Linked DNA regions of Xenopus tropicalis. The protein of the gene in region 1 interacts with the protein of each later gene in a pairwise test. Links are inferred from orthologs where the notes say so. Each region holds a gene or a part of one and is shown in the gene's direction. Other genes may lie near its edges. The genes, in order: satb1, pias3 and topors.

Evidence for each region.
Region 2: the proteins of satb1 (region 1) and pias3 interact in a two-hybrid assay, tested with the Homo sapiens proteins (2 studies listed by BioGRID and IntAct). The link is inferred for Xenopus tropicalis from reciprocal best matches to the Homo sapiens genes SATB1 and PIAS3.
Region 3: the proteins of satb1 (region 1) and topors interact in a two-hybrid assay, tested with the Homo sapiens proteins (2 studies listed by BioGRID and IntAct). The link is inferred for Xenopus tropicalis from reciprocal best matches to the Homo sapiens genes SATB1 and TOPORS.

The regions. Positions count from the first base shown.
Region 1 is NC_030682.2:45,021,828-45,025,075, reverse strand, and holds part of satb1 (DNA-binding protein SATB1), read left to right. Parts: intron 1-2,416; coding exon 2,417-2,620; intron 2,621-3,248. UniProt on the Homo sapiens protein: Crucial silencing factor contributing to the initiation of X inactivation mediated by Xist RNA that occurs during embryogenesis and in lymphoma.
Region 2 is NC_030684.2:141,801,230-141,804,885, reverse strand, and holds part of pias3 (E3 SUMO-protein ligase PIAS3), read left to right. Parts: intron 1-582; coding exon 583-717; intron 718-1,173; coding exon 1,174-1,279; intron 1,280-3,242; coding exon 3,243-3,316; intron 3,317-3,548; coding exon 3,549-3,656. UniProt on the Homo sapiens protein: Functions as an E3-type small ubiquitin-like modifier (SUMO) ligase, stabilizing the interaction between UBE2I and the substrate, and as a SUMO-tethering factor.
Region 3 is NC_030677.2:115,119,508-115,123,764, reverse strand, and holds the start of topors (E3 ubiquitin-protein ligase Topors), read left to right. Parts: upstream 1-1,349; 5' UTR 1,350-1,483; coding exon 1,484-1,543; intron 1,544-3,495; coding exon 3,496-4,257. Other genes in the region: smim27 (small integral membrane protein 27), read right to left, coding at 1,100-1,144. UniProt on the Homo sapiens protein: Functions as an E3 ubiquitin-protein ligase and as an E3 SUMO1-protein ligase. Probable tumor suppressor involved in cell growth, cell proliferation and apoptosis that regulates p53/TP53 stability through ubiquitin-dependent degradation.

The DNA.
Region 1 (3,248 bases):
CTCTGAAATATGGGAAGGCCCTCTCCTATAGACTTAATTTTAATCAAAAAATTGAAGAACAATTTCTTTGTCATAATAAAACAATACCTTGTACTTAATCCAAACTAAGATATAATTGGGATCCTATTGGGTTAATTTAACTTTTAAATAATTTTTTTTTAGTAGGCTTATGGTAAGGAGGTCTAAATTACAGAAAGATCCCTTATCCAGAAACCCCGAGGTCCTGACCATTCTGGATAACCAGAACCTGCGTGACAGGGCCAGCATTTGATATAATGCGTGTTTCCCAGTTACACAATTATTTTATGTATGATGGGAAATGTTTGTATACTATTGTTTATACTGTATTCTTTAGTATATATATATATATATATATATATTTTATTTATTTTTTTTAAACATTCAAGCCTTTTATTTTCACAGGCCAAACCTGAATTTTTATTCCGCATTTGTGGGCATTTGTGATTTTTATCTTTGAGTATCTTTTGCCTTCTATATATTAAATAAGAGAATTGAATTGTTAAGCATTTCCTTGCTTACTGTTGCAAGACATTTGCAGATGGCACTTGTTTCTAACGCAGTGCATAATAATAATTCTTGTGTGGCAGATGGATTTAAGACCTTTATTTCTCAATAAATTTCCCTTTACAATACATAACTTTACAGGATTTGTGTTGTATACAGCAGGTTTGAACACAGCCCAGCATTCATCTGCATGGCATTTTCAGTTTCTATGCATCTCATTCCACCAATTAAACTAAAGGGAGGGCAAGGTTACTGGCATGGACTAAAGGCAGAATTTTGAATAGCAACAGCATTTAGAACAGAAGGTGTCAAATAAAACTCTGACAGTTCAAAATCAGCAACATCCTGAAGTTCAAATAATTTACTTGGCTTTCGTGCCTTCTTATAGCAATTTTTGTTGTCTAAAAATAATGTAGACATTGCACCTTCACCATCTGCCATTTGTTACACGTATCAACAAGTATCAAAGTACATTGTTTCATTTGGACTGTCACCTTTTCATCTTTTAAATGGAGGATTAGCTGAATTCTCTAGATTTTTCCTAATACGCCCATTAAAAAATTAGTCTTAAAATTGGTTCTCTGACAGAGCAGACTCTATATTTGTTTCTATCATTGAAATAAGGGAAATCTGGCAGTTCTCAAACCGCTTGGCCAAATCCAAGTGATTGACATGCAGTTACTTGGCATTAATGTTAAAAAGACTCTCAAGTCAACAGTGTGTATGATAGATACAGTATGTACACAGTAGTAAACATTGCTGCCATGCAGTGTTGAGATGCTGGGTCAGATTGGGGTACCCAGTGCCCACCACTTGGGCACCGCCACCCCCTGTCTGCCCCACTCCAACTCCACTACTTGCTTACTTGGCTGCCAATCAGGGGAAAAATGGAAAGATGGTCAGGTATGGCCATTTCTAATGTTCATGAATCTTAACATATACATGTCAGGGCCGAAGAGGATTGGGCCACCAGGATTTTTCCTGGTCCCAGTGGGCCAGCCCGGCTCTGATGCTGAGCTTGAACCAGTAAGCTATCTATAAAGGGTTTGTATGCTTTGTAATGTTTATGTGGGACCTTCTATGATTACAAAATACACAGGACAACTACTGGGGGGGCTGGGAAGGGGTGCATTCGAATAATAAAATGTTCTCTGTAAAGTACAGGAATGGGACCCATTATTCAGAATGCTCAGGACCTGGGGTTTTCTGGATAATAGATCTTTGCGTAATTTGGATCGCCTACTTTGTTTACTAAAACAATTATTTTAACAGTAATTTGACCCAATGGCTCCAATAAGGATTAATTATATCTTAGTTGGGATTAAGTACAAGGGACTGTTTTATTATTACAGAGAAAAAGGAAACCATTTTTAAAAATGTGAATTATTTGATTAAAATGGAGTCTATGAGAGATGGCCTTTCTGTAATTTGGAACTTTCTGGATAATGGGTTTCTGGATAAGGGAACCGATACCTGTATATACCATTCATGGAGAAGAAATGAGAACGCCAGTGTGTGTGTGTGTTGAGAAACATAGAGTTAGATATATTTTAGCCGGTGTGAGACTTATAGTTGTTAAAATGCTGATACACTAAAAATATGTAACTTTGTTATGTGCTAGCTGAGGATGTTCTTTCAACAAAGGTTGGACCTCCAAGGGGGCTTGAACAGAAAACTCCTGCTGGGGAACTATATGGAGGGTAACCCAATCCGATGTAACATATATTTTCCTTTAATGTCTGTTACTATATAGAATGCTGTTTATGTAAAATTCAAATGCGTAGATGGTTCAAATATCTGGGTCACTGCTGAACAGCAGTACTGATAAATATATGTTGGCATATGATTACCAGTCATAGTAACATTCCTTTTTTATTTTTTTTATTTTTAGGGCTGGCTGTGTGAACTATTACGATGGAAAGAAGACCCTTCACCGGAAAACAGGACTCTGTGGGAGAACCTTTCAATGATTCGAAGGTTCCTAAGTCTTCCCCAAACAGAAAGAGATGTGATTTATGAGCAAGAGAGCAATGCGGTTCATCAGCACAGTGAAAGGCCATCTCATGTGATCCATGTTTCTGCAGAACAGATTCAGGTAGGTAAAACAGAAGTTTGAAATGGTTATGTTCTTATATTACATGGTTTTATTCTTAAACATTATTTGAACTTCCAGATATAAATTATAAGATATAATAAATATAAATGTATTTTATTTTTACAGACATACCCAATTCCACAGATTATAGGAAACCATAAAAGCTTGTGTCTGTGTGTTTTCCAGTTTCTCACCCCTCTCTGACTGTAATGCAAACCTCACCCTTATCTTGCTGAATTCTGGGGCCTAAAGTCGCTCTGCTTTCTAGAGAGTCTGTGCACCACCCACTATGGTAAGCAGAGAGACTTCCAGTCCCAGAATCTATCAGTTTACAATGGAACAAAGTGAGTGCATTACAATGTCAGTATTAAGGGATCTTGGGAAACAGCTCTATGGAGTTATCACTGTGTCCTTTAATCTGTGGAATCAGCTATGTTTCTGTAAATCAAAAATACATTTATATTTATATGTTTAAGTTTAGATTGAGCACTTTTTATACAGCCCAACTAAATGAGTTTAGTTATGCTAAGCTAATTCATATTTGTTACAGTACAGTATCCCATGTTATGAGTGCAGCTTCTATTCTGAGCATAGAATTTATATACTTTGCAGATATATAAGATACTTT
Region 2 (3,656 bases), on another chromosome or scaffold:
CCCTGTACTAAGCACAATTCAGCAGGAACAGCCCCCTAAGTTTGCCCATAGCCTGTACAGAGAGATACCATAAAACTATGGTACATAGGGATTCCCCTGTACTAAGCACAATTCAGCAGGAACAGCCCCCTGAGTTTGCTCATAGCCTATACAGAGAGATACCATAAAACTATGGCACATAGGGATTCCCCTGTACTAAGCACAATTCAGCAGGAACAGCCCCCTACGTTTGCTCATAGCCTGTACAGAGAGATACCATAAAACTATGGCACATAGGGATTCCCATGTACTAAGCACAATTCAGCAGGAACAGCCCCCTATGTTTGCTCATAGCCTGTACAGAGAGATACCATAAAACTATGGCACATAGGGATTCCCCTGTACTAAGCACAATTCAGCAGGAACAGCCCCCTAAGTTTGCCCATAGCCTGTACAGAGAGATACCATAAAACTATGGCACATAGGGATTCCCATGTACTAAGCACAATTCAGCAGGAACAGCCCCCTATGTTTGCTCATAGCCTGTACAGAGAGATACCGTAAAACTATTGATACAGTTTATTCTGTTTTTCTTGTCTCCAGGGGTATTTACCCCCCACAAAGAATGGTGCCGAGCCCAAACGACCGAACAGACCAATCAACATTACGCCGCTCATCCGACTGACATCAACGGTGCCCAACACTATTGTGGTGAACTGGTCGTCCGAGTTTGGCAGGGTAAGAGCTGCAGATACTGAGCCTTAATGTTATTGATATGTCCATGGCTCACTCCTGTGCGGCCCCCTCTGTGGCACTGGAATTAACTGTGTGTGTGCCATAGCACTGTGTAGTTTGTGTGCAGCTGCGTGGCTACTGTTGCCAGTAGAGGGCGCTATTCTTTCTGGGTGTTTATATGTCTTCCCTTGTCTGATTGGAGGGGAAGGGCACAGCCAACAAGCAGCAAATAGAGCTCAGGCAGGAGGAGGATATTACTGCCACTCACTTAATTGCATTAACCCATCATGAACCCTTAGTCACATGATGTTGTGTCACTCTGGTGGGCCGGCTGTGTTATACAAATACGCAGTGTTTCTCCAGTGACAGTGAGCCGTGTATGCTGGGCTTATCCCCTGTTAGATATGGGTCGCCCCATAGTCACACTCTTACCCCAATGTGCTTCTTACCCCTCTGCAGAATTACTCTCTCTCCGTGTACCTGGTTAAACAGCTCACATCCGTCACCTTATTGCAAAAACTCCGAGCAAAGGGCATCCGTAACCCAGACCATTCCAGAGCCTTGAGTAAGTATTTAGGGACTGAGGTTCTCCTCCTCTCCCCATGTGTTTATGGTACTATCCTGAGGTTCTCCTCCTCTCCCCATGTGTTTATGGTACTATCCTGAGGTACTCCTCCTCTCCCCATGTGTTTATGGTACTATCCTGAGGTTCTCCTCCTCTCCCCATGTGTTTATGGTACTATCCTGAGGTTCTCCTCCTCTCCCCATGTGTTTATGGTACTATCCTGAGGTACTCCTCCTCTCCCCATGTGTTTATGGTACTATCCTGAGGTTCTCCTCCTCTCCCCATGTGTTTATGGTACTATCCTGAGGTTCTCCTCCTCTCCCCATGTGTTTATGGTACTATCCTGAGGAACCAGATCCTAACCCTCCCCATGTGTTTATGGTACTATCCTGAGGTTCTCCTCCTCTCCCCATGTGTTTATGGTACTATCCTGAGGTTCTCCTCCTCTCCCCATGTGTTTATGGTACTATCCTGAGGTACTCCTCCTCTCCCCATGTGTTTATGGTACTATCCTGAGGTTCTCCTCCTCTCCCCATGTGTTTATGGTACTATCCTGAGGTTCTCCTCCTCTCCCCATGTGTTTATGGTACTATCCTGAGGAACCAGATCCTAACCCTCCCCATGTGTTTATGGTACTATCCTGAGGTTCTCCTCCTCTCCCCATGTGTTTATGGTACTATCCTGAGGTTCTCCTCCTCTCCCCATGTGTTTATGGTACTATCCTGAGGTACTCCTCCTCTCCCCATGTGTTTATGGTACTATCCTGAGGTTCTCCTCCTCTCCCCATGTGTTTATGGTACTATCCTGAGGTTCTCCTCCTCTCCCCATGTGTTTATGGTACTATCCTGAGGTTCTCCTCCTCTCCCCATGTGTTTATGGTACTATCCTGAGGAACCAGATCCTAACCCTCCCCATGTGTTTATGGTACTATCCTGAGGTTCTCCTCCTCTCCCCATGTGTTTATGGTACTATCCTGAGGTTCTCCTCCTCTCCCCATGTGTTTATGGTACTATCCTGAGGTACTCCTCCTCTCCCCATGTGTTTATGGTACTATCCTGAGGTACTCCTCCTCTCCCCATGTGTTTATGGTACTATCCTGAGGTACTCCTCCTCTCCCCATGTGTTTATGGTACTATCCTGAGGTACTCCTCCTCTCCCCATGTGTTTATGGTACTATCCTGAGGTACTCCTCCTCTCCCCATGTGTTATGGTACTATCCTGAGGTACTCCTCCTCTCCCCATGTGTTTATGGTACTATCCTGAGGAACCAGATCCTAACCCTCCTCATGTGTTTATGGTACTATCCTGAGGTACCAGATCCCCCCCCCTTTCCATGTGTTTATGGTACTATCCTGAGGTTCTCCTCCTCTCCCCATGTGTTTATGGTACTATCCTGAGGAACCAGATCCTAACCCTCCCCATGTGTTTATGGTACTATCCTGAGGTTCTCCTCCTCTCCCCATGTGTTTATGGTACTATCCTGAGGTTCTCCTCCTCTCCCCATGTGTTTATGGTACTATCCTGAGGTACTCCTCCTCTCCCCATGTGTTTATGGTACTATCCTGAGGTACTCCTCCTCTCCCCATGTGTTTATGGTACTATCCTGAGGTACTCCTCCTCTCCCCATGTGTTTATGGTACTATCCTGAGGTACTCCTCCTCTCCCCATGTGTTTATGGTACTATCCTGAGGTACTCCTCCTCTCCCCATGTGTTTATGGTACTATCCTGAGGAACCAGATCCTAACCCTCCTCATGTGTTTATGGTACTATCCTGAGGTACCAGATCCCCCCCCCTTTCCATGTGTTTATGGTACTATCCTGAGGTATCAGATCCCAGATCCCTCCCCGTATATTTCTGGTTCTGTTATGAGGTGCTACATTCCTCCCTCCCCCCTGAGTTGCAGTTACAGGTTACCTCCCCAGGGGGCGCTGTGCTTAACCGCGTTTGTTTTCATATAACAGTAAAGGAAAAGCTGACGGCAGATCCCGACAGTGAGATCGCCACCACGAGCCTGCGCGTTTCCCTCATGTGCCCGGTGAGTGCTAATGGGCTCCCTGTTTAAGCTTACATTCACTGACTCCGCCCCCAGCACTGTCTGGCTGAGGATTCTGGGATTTGTACTGTAAAACAGAGGGATTAGCATCCATTTGGCAGCTTTATTTTCCCTTCATATTAAAGGCAAAGTAACCATTTAATGGGTAATGCTTTACCGACCCGCTTGCACTCAGACTGGATTAACCCTTTGTGGCTGCTGATTTCTCTCGCAGCTGGGAAAGATGCGCCTGACGGTGCCCTGCAGAGCCATCACCTGCACCCACTTGCAGTGCTTCGACGCGGCGCTCTACCTGCAGATGAACGAGAAGAAGCCGACGTGG
Region 3 (4,257 bases), on another chromosome or scaffold:
AAATTAAGAAAAAAAAATGATTGCTGGTCACTATCTGCACTTCTCCGATGTATGATTTAATGGGCCAGCCTCTGACAGGTTATGCCTTTACCTCTCTTGTGATCCAATCTATAAATAAGTTGCTAGCTTTGTACACATTGGAATTTTGGAAGGCTACTGTTTGTGCTGGTAGCCATGTTGTTTGCAATACATTTATGATAAATAATAACCAGAAGAAATCCATTCCATTTGAAGCAGCGTAGATGGTTTTTCACTGAGGGCAGTGAGGTTGTGGAATGCCCTTCCTAGTGATGTGGTAATGGCAGATTCTGTTAATGCCTTTAAGAGGGGCCTGGATGAGTTCTTGAACAAGCATAGTACCCAAGGCTATTGTGATACTAATATCTACAGTTAGTATTAATGTTTGTATATATAGTTTATGTATGTGTTATGGTAAGTATAGGTTGTGTGTGCTGGGTTTACTTGGAAGAGTTGAACTTGATGGACTCTGGTCTTTTTTCAACACGATGTAACTATCAAAATACTGGGATGAAATTACATATACTTATATATATATATATATATATATATATATATATATAATTTCTTGTGTGCTAACATCTAAACACCTAAGCATATGCTGATAGAGTATGGTGTTAAAAACTGTATTTTACAAAAAAAAAAGCAACCAATATATACAGCTAAATGGTTGGGCAGTTGTGTTGGGCACAGATAAACTGATTATTATTTCAGTCTTGGAGTGGGGCAAGTCCCACTAGTGCATGTTGGAGCTGATTGAATAATAATAATATTTAGCAAAGAGAGAGGCTGCAATTTGCTTGATGACTGGGTGCTACTGGGAAATAGGCATGCACATAACTACCTCATGTAAAACTTAGTCCTTAGTGTGAGAGATGTATGTCATATATAGATAACAGATCATCAAGTATAAGAAACAAGCTGCCGGGCTGTACTAATTGACTTTAAATAGTGAAACTTACCAAGTAAGTATCACAGACGTTCACACAATCTGGTAACCTTACCATAAAATACACATGATACCTTTACGTGACGTAAGCCATGTAACTCATTCAATCATATATTATACAGATTTCCTTACCAGAGAATAAATCCATTCTACTGCTCTCTTGCTTATTAAAATCATGGTTACTGGAGGTCGTTCTATCGCAGTAAACTATCATTCAAGCAATGATTCCTTGCTCCGCCTCTACGTTACTATAGCAACACCACCACATCCTGTACGAGCTAAGCGTAAGCTCGACAACATCCGTTTCAGGCAGACCTCCTGGCTGCTAGGGGGCGCTAGCTATGTAGAATATAGAGTGAACTTTCCCTGTCCCAGAATGCCTCCCTTCTCTGACTTTACAGTGTACCGGGCGGGGTGAGAGGGTAGAATTGTGTAACACGAATGGTATCAATGAAAGCATTGCCTGGAAGTCCGGGGACTATATCGCGGGTTTGAGACCCGGCTTACGGTCACGCCATGAGGGAGAAGAGAACCAAGCGGCGGAGGCCGGGAGCGAGGCAAGAAGCGAATGACACGGTAAGATATGTTTGTGTATAAACTGGAGTGACTGCGTCCCCGAACTATACCCGCTGTCATAATCGGCCTTATAGGTTTCATCGGTGGCTCGGTTTTTCTTTACCTTCCAGTAGTTGTATTAATATTTTACCGGGACCCTTGGTGTAATAGTAATAATAGTGTTCTTTCCAACACCGCCACCACACTGTATACTTCTGCTTCTGTATTTATATGGCAGCTGTCCCCTTGCTTATCTAGGGCTGTCTCGCTAACACACAATTGCTTGCTGACACCAGAGATTCAGTTGGGTTTGTATATGTTTGGCTCCTATGTAGGCTGGGCTTTTCATCTCTGCAGAGGGACGTGCAGGAGAAAGTACTTTCTGGGTACCCCTGTAGGTTCATAACACCAGTGGGAAAACTTAATAAGGTTGTATGTATGTATGTATATATATCTTTATTTCTAAAGTGCTTATTATGTACGCAGCGCTGTACAGTAGAATACATTAATACAAACAGGAGGTTAATAAGATAATAGATAAATACAAAGTATAATAATAAATACAGATAAATACAGCTGCAATAAGTTAAGAGTCGAGGACACAAGAGGATGGAGGTCCCTGCCCCGTAGAGCTTACAATCTATATGGGAGGGTAACTAACAGACACAAATAGGCAAATATAAGTGCTGTAGGTCACAGTAGGTTATTCACCTTTACATTCATTTTTAATGTTATAGAACACCCCAGCGTACAGCCACAGCATATTTATTTTAAACCTGAAACTCCATGGTTTCCATTACTTTAGTGGCTGGTTAAAATAGTCTTATTGATCCTAATGTGTCTATACATTCATAGATCCCTACTACAACCGAATGCAGGCTAAACCATTGAAAGCCCATTTTTTTGCTGAATTAGAATTCATCTGTACGTCTGTTCCTTTTTTACCTGTCTGTATATTATGTCTCCAACAAATTCTCACCTACAGTGTTACCTTTTAGTATGTTATGCAGGTATGGGACCCATTATCCAGAGTGCTTTGGGCCTGGGGTTTTCTGGATAAGGGGTCCTTTCATAATTCAGATCCCCTACCTTAAGTCTGCTAATAAAATTATTAAAACAGTAATTAAACCCAGTAGGATTGCTCCAAAAAGGATTAATTATATCTTAGTTGGGATCAAGTACAAGGTACTGTTTTATTATTACAGAGAAAAAGGAAATCATTTTTTAAAAATGTTAATGATTTGATTAAAATGAAACCTATGGCAGAAGGCCTTTCTGTAATTCGGAACTTTCAGGATAAGGGGTTTCCAGATAAGAGGTACAATACCTGTAGAATGGCCAGTTCTTAGTAACTTTTCAATTCGTCTTCATTTTTCATTTTGTATAGCTTTTAAATGTTTTGCCTTTTTTCTTCTGACTCTTTCTAGCTTTCAAAAGTGGGTCACTGTCCCCCGCAGCCAAAAAGCATTTTGTGAGGCTACAACTTATTGGTGTTTTTTATTACGTATCTTCCTATTCGTGCCTCTCCTATTCATCTCTGTGTCTCAATAATATTACTGCCTTGTTGTAGGGTCATTTAGACCCTAGCAACTAGATAGGTGCTAAAATTCCAAACTGGAGAGCTGCTGAACAAAAAATGGAATAACCGAAAAACCACAGTTAACAAAAAAAAAAATGAAGACTAGTTGCAAATTGTTGAAATTTCTATGTCTTAAAGTTACAGGATAAATTATGGAAATATTTCACGAACCACAATTCATAAAAAAAAATTTAGGTTATCATGCTAAAAGTTAATTTTAAGTTGAACTACCCCTTAAGATACAGTGCAAAGAGATACCGTATAATAATATCATTTAGCGTCACGAAGAGTAGGGATGCATTATCACATTTATTTAGCTTTTGCATATAATGTATAAGTTTACCAAATAAGACTAGTACTGTAAAATTTAATATGTGTTTTTCTTCTTTTTTAGATGATGGCATCATCCTCTAACAATTATTCACTAGATGGCAGCTTTTCACCCCAGGCTGGCACAAGCAAACTACAAAACCATGGTACTGCAACAGATGCTTCCCCAGACTCAAAGTGTCCAATATGTTTGGACAGGTTTGATAATGTGTCACATCTTGATCGATGTCTGCACAGATTTTGTTTCCGTTGCATTCAAGAATGGGCAAAAAACAAAGCTGAATGCCCTCTATGCAAACAGCCCTTTTACTCCATTTTCCATAGTGTCAAAGCAGAGGATGATTTTAAAGAATATGTCTTGAGGCCCACAATGAATGGTTCATTTGCCAGTCCTGATGGACATAGATTTCGTTATCGCACAACTATGAGTAGAGACAATCATGTAGCCATTCGGACATTAAGGTCTTCAAGCACTCAAAGGACATTTTCACCTCCTGACAATGGAATTTTATTTGAAGGGTTTTCAAATCAGAATTTACATCAAAGAGGTGAAGAAATCCACCAGATGATAAGAAGGCTAGCCTCCAGACGACAAGCCAGTGCAGAGGGTCGTTCTATGAGGCAAATTCAAGAGCAAGAACTCATTAACTTCAGAAGAGCTTTGTACCGGTCTGGAATACGTGTGAGAAACATTCAGGATGGCGGACGTTATAGAGATATTTCTGCTGAGTTCTTCCGGCGTAACCCTGCTTGTCTTCATCGGCTAGTACCATGGTTGAAAAGAGAGTTGACTGTTCTCTTTGGTAGCCATGGTTCCCTTGTTAAC